3 linked regions of the Diceros bicornis minor genome follow. The protein of the gene in region 2 purifies or fractionates together with the protein of the main gene of each other region. This does not show direct contact. Links are inferred from orthologs where the notes say so. Each region holds a gene or a part of one and is shown on either strand. Other genes may lie near its edges. The genes, in order: EP300, SMARCA4 and CHD7.

Region 1 (3,742 bases), on a different chromosome or scaffold from region 2:
CACCAAACTAACTGTAAGAAGAGGACGATGGAAGGAAGTCTCCCAGACTTTCTCCTGACAAAAGGCTAGTCCACAACTTTGTGAAGCAAAGAATTTGTAGAGCCTTGTTAAACTGAAATCTTGATCTCCAAATACGTTTAAAAGCGTAAAAAAACAAAAACACACAAATAGAAACCTAATGCATATTTTAAACTTTTGTATGATCAGCTCATGCTTGCAGTTCATGATTGGGGCTCTTTCAACTTCTAATCTTGATTTCCAAGTACATAACTCCACAAAATCGATTATATTTTTCCTGCGCCCCCCCAAAGAAAGTGACAACAAACTGCAAAGAAAATGCCTCTGCTCTCTCCCACCCTAAAAACCCAGAGTTTCAGACATTTTGGTCTCATACCAAAGAAATGGAAGATGTAAAATGAACTGCGCTCCATATTGATTCTTAAAGCAAATAAGAAGATTAAAAAAAAGAAAAAAAAGCTAGGAACGGTAGGTAAAATAATTCAAATCAAATTTCAGTTTTGACGTTAAAACTCACGTCAAACCTGAAATCCTGCATCTCACACACACAAATAAACAAAACCAAGATTTTTTACACACTCATACTCAGCAGAAAATCTCGTGCAAAGAAGAGAAAATCTTGAAAAGGAAGAGTCGAAAGTAGAGAAAACAGAATAAGTGCAATCAAAGAGAAAGGACTGGCAATTCCTCATTTATCAACAAATTAAAAGTAGGGTTGCATAAAAAACCCTTACACGCAAATGCACTGGCATTTCCAAAATTAAATTCCATGGGAGCAACAATAAAGGCCATTTCTACAGCACCACTCAAGAACTCTAATTCCAGAACACACATCGATATGACATAGTGTTGCAACCAATGTATTAGGAAGCAAAGAAAATGGTTGGGCTACTGGACGTCTTTGACCAGCTCATTCAAACACCTTTAAAATTAATCAAGAGGCAGAGAACTAGGAAGAGAGAGAAAGGAAGAAAATCTGGAAGAAGAAAGGTGCACCGAGCAGCAAAGATTCAGGGGGATGTGGAGGGCCAGGGCTCCCGAGACTAACCTGTGCCATCGCTGGCCGACGCCGAGAGGGCCGGAGATGAGAGTTTAGGCCGCTTGGCTGAAGGCGGCCCCGGTTCCACCACATTCTCGGCCATTTTTAATTCTTTCGGAGATACAGGCGAGGAAAACGAGAATCCTCGGGCAATCTCTTCTTCAGGCCGGGGTCCCCGCCCCGCTCCTTGGGGTGGGCTTGGGGGGCTCCGCCGGCCCCCGATGGGGGTGGGGGAAGTTCCTTTTTCTCTTCGCCGGGTCGCGCTGGCCGAAGAGGGATGCGGACTCGATAGAAAGGTAGGGGCAAGTGCGAGGGGCCGGGCCTGGCCCAGGCCCGGAGGAGGGTACAGGAACACAAATCCGCCGAGCGCGGCCGCTGCGGCGAATTCCCGAGAACTCGCGGCTCTAGAGGCGCAGTCCCCGGCCCGCCACGGCCGGCCCCTGCCCAGCCGAGGTCTCTCGGAGCTCCGCCGCCGCCATCAGCCTCTTCCTCCTCGGCGCTGTCCTCCTCCTTCTCATCGCCACAAGGAGGCGGGGGCGAAAAGGGGGGAGAGGAGGAGGCGACGAGAGACACTCACCTCCTCCCGGTGCCCCCTCCCGGACCTGCGCCCCCACCCTCCGAGCCTTCCTCCTGCCGCCGCGCTCCGCGCCGCCGCCGCACCGGCCCCTAATGACCGCACAGAGCTCGCCCGAGCCGAGAGCCAGGCTGGCGCCGCCGCCTCACATCGCGCGGCGGGCGGCGGAGGCGCGGCGAGGACGCCGGGCGCGGAGCTCGCCGGCCCAGAGGGCCGAGGGGGCCGGGCCGAGCAGCGCCGCCCGCCCGCGCCGACGCCGAGCCCACCGAGGAGGCCCCGCTCCGGCGGGCGGCGCAGGCGGCCTCCTCTCCCGCGGAAAATAAATAAATACGGCCGCCGCTACGGCCCCCACCCCCGGCGGCCAGGTGCCGGGAGCGCCCGCCCCCCGGGGCTCCGCTCGGGGCCGCCCTCGGCGGCAGGCGAAGGCGCCGCGGGGCGCGGGGTTATGTAATGGTCCCCCCTAGGCGTCGACGCCGGCCCGGCTCCCAGGCCGCGGTGGGGGTGTGTGCGGACGGGAGGGGGCTGGGGGTCGCTCAGCCCGTGCGCCCCGGGCCCCCTGCCACTGTCTCGGCCCCTGCCGCCTCTCTCCGGCCCGGCTCCCCTCCGCACTCTCGCTCTCGCAGTTCGCACTCAGCCCGGCGTCCCGCTTGCCCACTCTGGCCCGCTCGCTCTCGCCCTCTCTCCCCCCCAGCCTAGCACACAAACAAGATGGCGGCTGTTGTTTCTTCCCTCTGCCGAATCCTCCTTACAGGCTAGCGGTAGCAGCGGCGGCCGGAAATGAGCCAAGGGGGGGTGAAAAGAAGGGGAGGGGTTGGGCCTCCGGAGGGAGGCGGCGAGGGGGCGGGGCCTGAGCCCGAGCCGCTCACACAATGGGGGAAGAGGACCCGGGGGCGGGGCTAGCTGCAATCACGGGATCCGCCCAAGGCCCCAACGCGGTTGGCGCTTCCGCAAACTCCCCCGGCGTCACCCGGTGGCTCCCTTTAAAGGGGAGGATTTGAAGGGGGGGTCGGGGGTGGACTTGCATCTATTTTCAGTCGGTGGACACTTACGGGGGAAGGTGCCTGGGTTGGGTCTCCGCGTAGGGACCGGTGGGAACCGCGGGGTGACGGAGCTCGGGGGCGACGCCGGGGAAGGCGCCAGGTCACCGCGCAGGTGGCCGAATGAGAGCGCCGTGGGGATGGCCCTGCTTCCCGGGCCCTTGGGCGGCCGGTCGTGCGAACCTCGGTTGAATCCAGCCGGCAGAGGGTACCCCGCCGCCCCGTGTTCCGGGCCAGAGACCCAGTGCGTCCTCTCTCCTCCATCGTTTTCCGAAAGGGAACGGTTCACGTCCAAAAATCACGCTGATTACGAGTTGTTTCCCTTTTCTCTGAATTTTACAATTTTTTGACAGTGAGCATATATTATTTTGATAATCAGAAAACGAAAACCACAGCAGTGGGAAGATGTTTTAGCACCAGACCTAAATTCGTTTCTTGCCCACCACGGGTCCACTTGCCTCTATCAGCCCTCTCACCAAAGGAGCCTGGAATTATTTTTCTGAACACGTCTGGGACCTGAGGACATTTTAGGGTATTTCTTTTCACCCACCCGCAACAGACCAGCTTAATAAAAGACCACGTTTAGACAGCGCCTTAAAGATAATGTAATTATGGAAAAAAGCGAAAACGTAATGTGCTAAAGGTAATGTAAGGATGGAAAAAAGCAAAAATGTAACGATGGAGAAAAACACTTGAATATAAATAAAGTGCAATGTGTGTGACAACACGGTTTTGCAGAGGAGAGCCTCGCAGCATGCTTTCACATTCCTACACATTACAGGATTCCGCTGTGTTTGGCCTTGGGTAAACTGCAACTTGAGGAGGTGGCAAGGTTGTTGGTGTTCCCCAAGGAAACCCCCAATCCAGTATCTATGGAGATAGTTAAAAGCTTTTTAACATATTTCAAATCTCATGCTCCTTAGTTAGTGTTTGCTTATTATTGTTTACTTTGGTTTTTGTTGTTGGCTTTTTAAATGAATGATGAGAATAAGAACCTAGGAGCGAAAATCTTAATGAAGCAACTCAGGTTGCCAACAAAGAGGAATTCTGTGTGATGTTCAGGCCTAATTCACC
Region 2 (3,742 bases):
CATCTTCCTCTATTTTGTATGTGGGATGCTGCCACAGCATGGCTTGATGAGCGGTGTGTAGGTTCACACCTGGGATCTGAACCAGTGAACCCCGGGCCGCTGAGGCAGAGCACACAAACAACCACTATGCCACCAGGCCAGCCATGTGTATGCACTGATTTTAACAAAAATTAGAAATATACATACATATATACATATAATGAGCAATATTAACTCCAACAAACTGAGTGCTCACTATATGTCAGGCGCTGCAGTGTGTTAAGCCACTTTCCAGATTATCTCATTCAACCCTCACAATAGTTTGAGGGGGGTCACACCTGTTTCACCAATGGCGGGACCTACTGGTAAGTGTCTTGCTGGAGGTCAAGCCAGGATTTAGAGCTGGGTGTAAACCTGAGGTGTGATTCTAGAACTAGGACCCCCACCGCCACTCCTACTAACCACCGCCCCACTCCCCATTCCCGGGGGAAGGAGGTTTGGCAAACAATGGCCTGGAAAGTTAAAAACCCACAACAGCAACTAACGTTCATTGCTTACAACCCACTGCCCCAGTCCTGCATGGAGCTCTTCACACCCATGTTCACTCAGTGCTCCCAAGGACCCTCCTCGCTCATGGCACCAACGTTCGCTAAGGGCCTTCCATGTGCCGGGCCCAGGGTACACTGCGGGAGGCCAGGGAGACCTGACCCCTGCTCTGATGGCCCTCAGAGAGGAATGGCTGTGTAATTACAAACTGGGGGAACTTCCACATGGGAAAGGACAGGGCGACGTGTGAGTGCAGCAGAGGGGAACAATGAGTGGTCCAGGGTGGTCCACATACAAGCTGGAACATCTTCCCTGGTTCTGGGCAAAGGTCCCCTCTTCCAGGCAGCCTCCCTGATCTCTGGTTCCACTACTTCCCTGGGCGTCCACTGTGTCCCTCTCACAGCGAGGATTGTGAGGATTAGATGATAGGCCAAGGGGACTTGTTCCCACATCTATCGCCTGTTCCCCTACAAGACTGGAAAGGCTCCACAGGGCTCCAACCCCCAACCATCTGACACCCAGTAGGGACTCAACAAATAATTGCTGAGCAACGGACGGAGATTGACCAGACAGTAACAACGGTGCTTCCCACTTGCCAGGAACCATTTTACAGGCCTTCACCAACTCCACTGGTGGCATTATCCCCATTTCAGGAAACCAAGAGGTTCAGAGAGATTAAGCTATTTGCCTAAAGTCACACAGCCAAGTGATGGAAGCAAACTCGAATCCGGTATCAATTCAAACTGAAAACTTGTCTCCAATTCCAAGGAAGCGGATCTTCCAACTATTCCCTACTTTCCCCAGGGAGTCACCGGGGAGAAAAATCAAGACTGGTGTCTTGAAGACCGGCACAAAACACTCTCCCGAGAGATCCACGTTTTAAATTACAGTCTTAATCTGGAAAATCATTTGGGAGGAAGGGAAAAGGATGCAAACTAAAAACAATGCTTTCAACAGCAAACAGTTCCCCCGGCCCTCCCCCACTTGCTGCCGACCCCCCACTTCAGAGCAGACATTCTGAAGTCACTTCTTGCAAGGGATTGGGGGAGTTACTTCTCTTTTCTTGAAAATCTACAATATGTGGCTTTTGTAGAATAAAATTTCAGGGCAGCTCATGCTCGTGTCCAGTTGATGCTGGACACGTCTGGCGTTTCCCTACTGAACCCCGATCGCGGCCTCGCCAAAAAGGCAACGTTCGGGTCCGACCCGTTACAACGTAGCCAGAAAAGCCCCGATGCCGGGCTATTGTTGCAGCCGCGGCGGAGACGGCGACTGGGGGCTGGGCCCTGGCCGGCGAGTCGAGGGGGCCGCGAGCTTTGTCCGGCGCCCCCGGCGAGAGCGCGCACGGGGGGCGCGCGGCCTCCACGCGGCCCGGGCCCCCACCCCCCGGCCCGCGGATACTGCAGCCGCCGCGGCCTCGCTGCACTGTGGCCTGCCCCGCGCGCGCGGTGCCGGCCAGGCTTCTTGACCCTCGGGCGCCGCCGTACCCCGGCCCCGCTCTGGGCGCCGGCGGCCCCCTCCCCCCTCGGCGCCCCGGCTCCATTCAAACCGCCCTCCCAGCCCCGCGCCGCGCTCCCCCCGCGGCCCGCCTTCCTTACCGGGAGCTGCCGGCGCCGTCGCCTTCCCGGCGCCGCCCCCGCCCCTCCGCGCGGGGCCAGGGGCAGAGTGGGCGTCTCGCGTCTCCTCACGAAACAAAGAAGCCGCCGCCGCCGAGCGAGGGTAAGCCTCGCGCGCGCGCCCGCCTCGGCCGCCCCCCCACGCCGCCCGCGCCCCCGCTGCGCGCGCACTCGCCGGCTCCCCTCCCCCCCCACAGACTGCCTCTCCCGCTTCCGCCGCCCGCCCGGCCTCGTGCGCGCGCCCGCCAGCCCTTCCGCTCCCAGCGCGCGTGCGCGTCTGCTCGGCGCTGGGGGGAGGTGGGCGGGGCCCGAGAGAGCCAGCGCGCCCGACGCGCCTCCCGACTCTGTCCCGGATGCTCCTGCGCCTGCGCACCGGGTGTTCCGCCTTCGCACGCCGGGCGTCCCCACGCCGCGGAGCATGCGCAGAGCGGGCGGCACTGCGGCGGTGGTGTGGCGGCGGTGGTGTGGCGGCGGCGGTGGCGGTGGGAGGTTGGGGGATGGGGCTGGGTGGCAGCGGGGTCTGCAGTGAAGGGATGGCCGAGGGGCCCTGAGGCTCGGAAGTGAGGACTGGAAGCTGGGCGCGAGGGCAGGCGGCGGGCAGGCTGGGCCGGGGAGGAGCACGGGCGGCCCAGGGCGGGCCGGGGAGCCGCTTTCACCCTTGGTGGGGGATGTTGAGGCCTATTCGGCGGGACCAGGCGGGGCCCGACCGCGGCCGCCTTTTCTGCACAGCCTCCGGGATGCCATTAATTAGCTTAGCAAATATTTATGGACCTGCTGCTGTGGCCCAGGCGCAGGTGCTGCGGCCGCAATCAGAAAAACCTCAGCCGCTGCGGCGCTCACGATCCGGTGGGGGAGGCAGGCCAGAGAAAGAAGGAAAATGCGTTGTGTTGAGAGGGGGACGTGAGGGTTGTGGGAGGTTTAAATGGGGCAGCCAGGGGAGCCTCGCTGCGACGAAGACGTTTGAGTCTAGACAGGAAAGCAGTGCGAGAGAGAGCCTTGTTGCAAGTGTGAAGGCCCTGAGCCTCCAAACCTCTTCTCTGTGATTTGAAAGTGTCCGCAGCGTCATCTTTAGCCCCGCAGCCGGACAGCCGCGCCCCCTGGGACTGTCGCTACCCCTGCTGCTCGCGGGCCTGCCCTTCCTCATTTTTCAGGTCCCAGCTGACTCACTGCGTCCTGTTTGATCACTGCCTCCTTTTTCCCCTTCCTTCACATTTCTTGGGTACCCTCTTGAGTGACTGTCTTTCTCCCTTCAATGTCAATGGCAAAGCTGTTGTCAGTTTTAATCACTAGGGAATACCAGCATCTAGCGTAGTGCCCCCATTCACCACATACTAGATACTTGAAATTTTTTTATTGAAGGAATGATAGAGACCGATTGTCTGCTGAGTGCGTCCTGTACCTGCATCAGCTCGTTGACTCTTTCCAAGTCCAAGGTGAGTCACTTGCAGTATAGAGCAGAAGGTGAGACCTCATGCAGGCGTCCAAGACCTGGATTTAAAACTTGACTCCATTGTTGGTAGCTGGGGGCTGCCAGGCAAGTTTATTGGACTCGTCTACGCGTCCCTTTCTTCACCTGTGAAATGGAAACAGTAATGGCACCC
Region 3 (3,742 bases), on a different chromosome or scaffold from region 2:
CTAAATGGAATTATAACTGTGATAAATCAGGTTCCCATGCTGCTAAGGTCACAGTCAGTCAGATTTTTTTGTCATCGTTAGAATAGATCTGTAAGGAAATAAAGAGAAGTTTCTTTTTTCTATTTGATTATTACGTATAGGGAGTACTCCCCCCTACCCTTATGGGGAGAGAATTCGGGGGAAATACACTCAACCTCTTTGAAAGGTATTGCCCACGGCAAAGACGACTTAAATTAGTATTTTTAGAAAATAAAAATCAGGGCCTTCTCATAATCCTTTAAAAACAGATTAAAATATTTAATATATCCCAGAAATCAAGCCCAGAGGATGGACACATTTCAAGATAAGTTATTTAAATCGACTGCTAGATAACGCACAATGGGAAACTAAAAAGTATACTTAGCAAGTGGAGAGCTGGATAGTGTATCTAATTCTAGCAATTCAAAAGGAAACTCTCCATGTGGGTTGCTACTTTTCTTTTGTCCATTGTCTGTTCAGAAGACTGGGAAAAAAACTAGTTTAAAATCGAGGCGTGAACAGTCTCTAAAAGTGCCCTCTGAGAAAACCGTCCGACCCACTGCAGGAGCACTCCCCGCGCCGCCCGCTCCACGGGGGCGCTCACAAAGCGGGCGGCCGGCCCGGAGTTCGGGGTGCGCTCCCACGGCGCGGGGCTCCTCGAGGCAGAGCCATCCGGAGAAAGGCGGCTCGGTAATGATGGCTGCTCGGGGCCGGCGGCTCCTTCCCCGGAGCCTCCCGACCCCCCCACCCCTCGCCTGGGACCCGCCGCCCCCCTCCCCCGGGCCGCGCTCGCCCCGCGCGGACGCAGCCACCCCGCACCGCAGCCCACAGGGTGCCCGCGCCCCCGCACCCCCGGCGAGCCCAGTCCCCGGTGCGAACCAAACAAACAACGCGTCCCCCGCCGCCCTCCTTCCTCTCCCCGCTGACCGCTTGGCCTCCAGCCACCTCGGCCGTTCACGCTCCGAACGGCGGATCTCTGCGGGGGCAGAGCGCAGCCGGGCCACCTCGGGGGCCACCTGGTGACCCCCCCGCGGCGCTGACCCCGGCGGCCTCGGGGGTGGGGGAGCCGAATTGCCTTCGGGGGGTTAAAGTCGTTATTATGCAGCCGCCACCGCCGTTGGCCGGCCAGCTCGGCAAGGTGGGGTCCCCTCCTCGCCGCGCCTCCCCGCGCTCTCCCCGGCCCCGCTCCCTTTCTTCTCCTCCTCGCGCACTTGGAGCCGCCGGGGAGCCCCGGGAGCCCCCGGCTCCGGGCTCGCAACTCCGCGCCCGCAGCCGGCACCGGCCGGGCTCGGGACGCCCCCAGCGCCGCGTGTTCGCGCCGCCCCCGCCCCACGCGGCGCCCCGCGCACTTTCCCCGCCGCCGACCCACCTCGCTCGGCGGCCGTCCCCGCGCGGGCCGGCGCCACCGCGCCAGGAGGGACGCACTTTGTTCGCGCCGGTGCGGCCGCCGCTCCCGGCGAGCGCGGCGTGGTCGGTCCGGAGCGGGGGGCGGGGGCGGGAGGCGGGGGTCGCCGCCGTCCCCGAGCCGCCGCCGCTCAGCCGCCCCGCGCCCGCGCGCCCATCGCCCACTCGCACTTGAGTTGCAGCCCAACTTTTCCTCCTTCCTTTTTCTTTCGAAGGGAGCCGGCAACTCGTGCTCGGCGCCGGCGGGAGGAAACGCGCTCGCGCTCCCCCGCGCGCAGACACGCTCCCTCCTGTCCCCCGTCCCCCCCTACGCCGGCAGCACAACAAAAAGCCATTTACATGCGAGGAAGTGACCCTCGGCCGGACCGCGCGCCCCCGCCGCCGCCGCCGGCCCCGCGGACGCAGGCAAAAGTTGGGGCGCCGGGCGGCGCTCGGGGCGCGGGTTCGGGCCCCGCGGGCGGCGACGCCGGGACACGGCACGGGCGGCGCTGCGCTCCTGCGCCGGCCGGGCCCCCGCCCGCCCGCGCCCCTCGCCCCGCACACGCCCAACTCCTCGCTCCCAACTCCGCGCGCGGCCCCGGCCCCGGCCCGGAGCGATTTCCTGCCGCCGCCGCCCCTCCCGGAGGCGCCGGCGAACTCTCGCGCTCACCCGGTCGGTCGGTCGGGCTCCTCCGCCGCCCTGCGCCGAGCGGAAAACAAAACGCAGAGCGGGCTCCGGAGTTGGCTCGGCGGCCGCGGCCAGGGGGCTGAATCCACGGGCGCGGACTTGGCCGGGGGCGAACGGGGCTCTGGCGAGTTTCGGGGTCTCCGGGTCCCCGGGCCGCCCCCTCAGCGGCGCTCCTTTGTGTAATTTCACTCGATTCAAGTTTAATCCGATAGTTCCCGAGCACGAGCGCGGCCGCACTACCACGGCTCAACCCCCGCGCCGCCGCCGCCGCCGCCGCCGCCGCCGCCACCGCTGCCGCCGCCGCCGCCGCCGCCGCGGCCCAGCACGCCAGCGCCTGCGCGCGCCCGGCACGCCGCGCGCGCCCGAGGCCGCGGGGCCGCGCGCGCCCGCCGCCGGCTCCCTCCGCGCCGCGCCCGCGCCCGCGCGCCGCCACCTGACGTCAGGCGCGCCTGGCATAATTTATGCAAGAATTCGGCCGGGGTGGCGGAGGCCGAGGGAGAGGGGGCGGCGCGGGGCCGCGGGCTGCGGAGGGCGGGCCGGGCGCCACTTCCCGTCCCGGGCGGGCGCCGGCGCTGCGGGCGGCTCTCCCGGCCGGCCGGTGCGCGGCCGCGCCGCCTCTCTGGCGGGGCTCTCCGAGCGCTCGGGCGCCGCGGCAGCGCCCCGGGCGCGGGCTGGACGCGGTGCCACGTTTCCCGCGCCGCACCTTCCCGGAGTCGGGGTGCGCCGCCCCGGGGCAGGAAGCGGCGGCTCCGCGCCGGCAGCCGTCCTCTCGGCCACAGCCAGGGGGTCCCAACGCGACGCGGACGGCGGCGGCTCGAGCGGTTGGATGTCTATTCTGTAATTAGCCTTCAACTTGGAATTATTTTCCCACATGCAGTCATCTCCAGTGGACACACTCCATTTCAAATAGTTTTCTCCGGCCTCTCCACATCGCTTTTCCTACCTCCTGGTTGACGGGACAGCGGGATCCACTAGTAAATCAGAAAGTTTAACTAGATGGCGTTGATTGTGTTGAATGTGTTACCATGCCAAAAAAGGGAGAGAGCGCAATGGTTATGAAACAAAGAAATAGGTTGTGTGCCCATTATTAAACGTGTCAGGACTAGAATGTTTTAATCATTCTTTGGCCAAAATGGCACTTTTATATGGTCTCCTAGCCTTACATATCGAAGCCTCGTATTCTATTTCTCTTCCCGGTGCAAAAATGAATATTAAACATGGAGAAATTTTTTTTTACTAGTTTTCCTTTTAGGAAACAGATCTACAAACATTTATCAAGCACCTTCTATGTGCAAAACACTGAGCAATTACAAATCTTTTAGGCTGTCAATAGTTGTACACTTTAAGGTGATTTTATTAGGTTAAAGATTACATTCCTTTTTAAATCAAGGAAGGAAATTATATCAACCAAAGATAGTCCTATAATAGACACAGAGTAAAGCCACTTGCTATTGTTGGACTCCAAAATAAACTAAGAAAATTGCAAAACTATGCAAACTATGTTTTCTCCCCACTCACCACCTGTAGTGCTAAGACCGTAATCACAATATTTCTATTTGAACAAAAAATTAATCAAAACTATTTTGTTGTTTAACTGCTACAACTATTCAATAACTAAGTTTGATTATCTAAGATTTAATCACTAAAATATTT

The links.
Region 1: the proteins of SMARCA4 (region 2) and EP300 purify together in Homo sapiens (affinity purification with western blotting; 4 studies listed by BioGRID, with this or other methods). This does not show direct contact. The link is inferred for Diceros bicornis minor from reciprocal best matches to the Homo sapiens genes SMARCA4 and EP300.
Region 3: the proteins of SMARCA4 (region 2) and CHD7 purify together in Homo sapiens (affinity purification with mass spectrometry; 3 studies listed by BioGRID and IntAct, with this or other methods). This does not show direct contact. The link is inferred for Diceros bicornis minor from reciprocal best matches to the Homo sapiens genes SMARCA4 and CHD7.

The regions. Positions count from the first base shown.
Region 1 is NC_080764.1:9,285,437-9,289,178, forward strand, and holds the start of EP300 (histone acetyltransferase p300), read right to left. Parts: upstream 2,375-3,742; 5' UTR 1,161-2,374; coding exon 1,067-1,160; intron 1-1,066. UniProt on the Homo sapiens protein: Functions as a histone acetyltransferase and regulates transcription via chromatin remodeling. Acetylates all four core histones in nucleosomes. Histone acetylation gives an epigenetic tag for transcriptional activation.
Region 2 is NC_080769.1:8,399,667-8,403,408, forward strand, and holds the start of SMARCA4 (transcription activator BRG1), read right to left. Parts: upstream 2,208-3,742; 5' UTR 2,124-2,207; intron 1-2,123. UniProt on the Homo sapiens protein: ATPase involved in transcriptional activation and repression of select genes by chromatin remodeling (alteration of DNA-nucleosome topology).
Region 3 is NC_080772.1:13,785,285-13,789,026, reverse strand, and holds the start of CHD7 (chromodomain-helicase-DNA-binding protein 7), read right to left. Parts: upstream 2,357-3,742; 5' UTR 2,072-2,356; intron 1,805-2,071; exon of another isoform or gene 1,762-1,804; intron 1,669-1,761; exon of another isoform or gene 1,598-1,668; coding exon of another isoform or gene 750-1,597; intron 709-749; coding exon of another isoform or gene 584-708; intron 1-583. Other genes in the region: basic proline-rich protein-like, read left to right, coding at 584-708, 750-1,597. UniProt on the Homo sapiens protein: ATP-dependent chromatin-remodeling factor, slides nucleosomes along DNA; nucleosome sliding requires ATP. Probable transcription regulator. May be involved in the in 45S precursor rRNA production.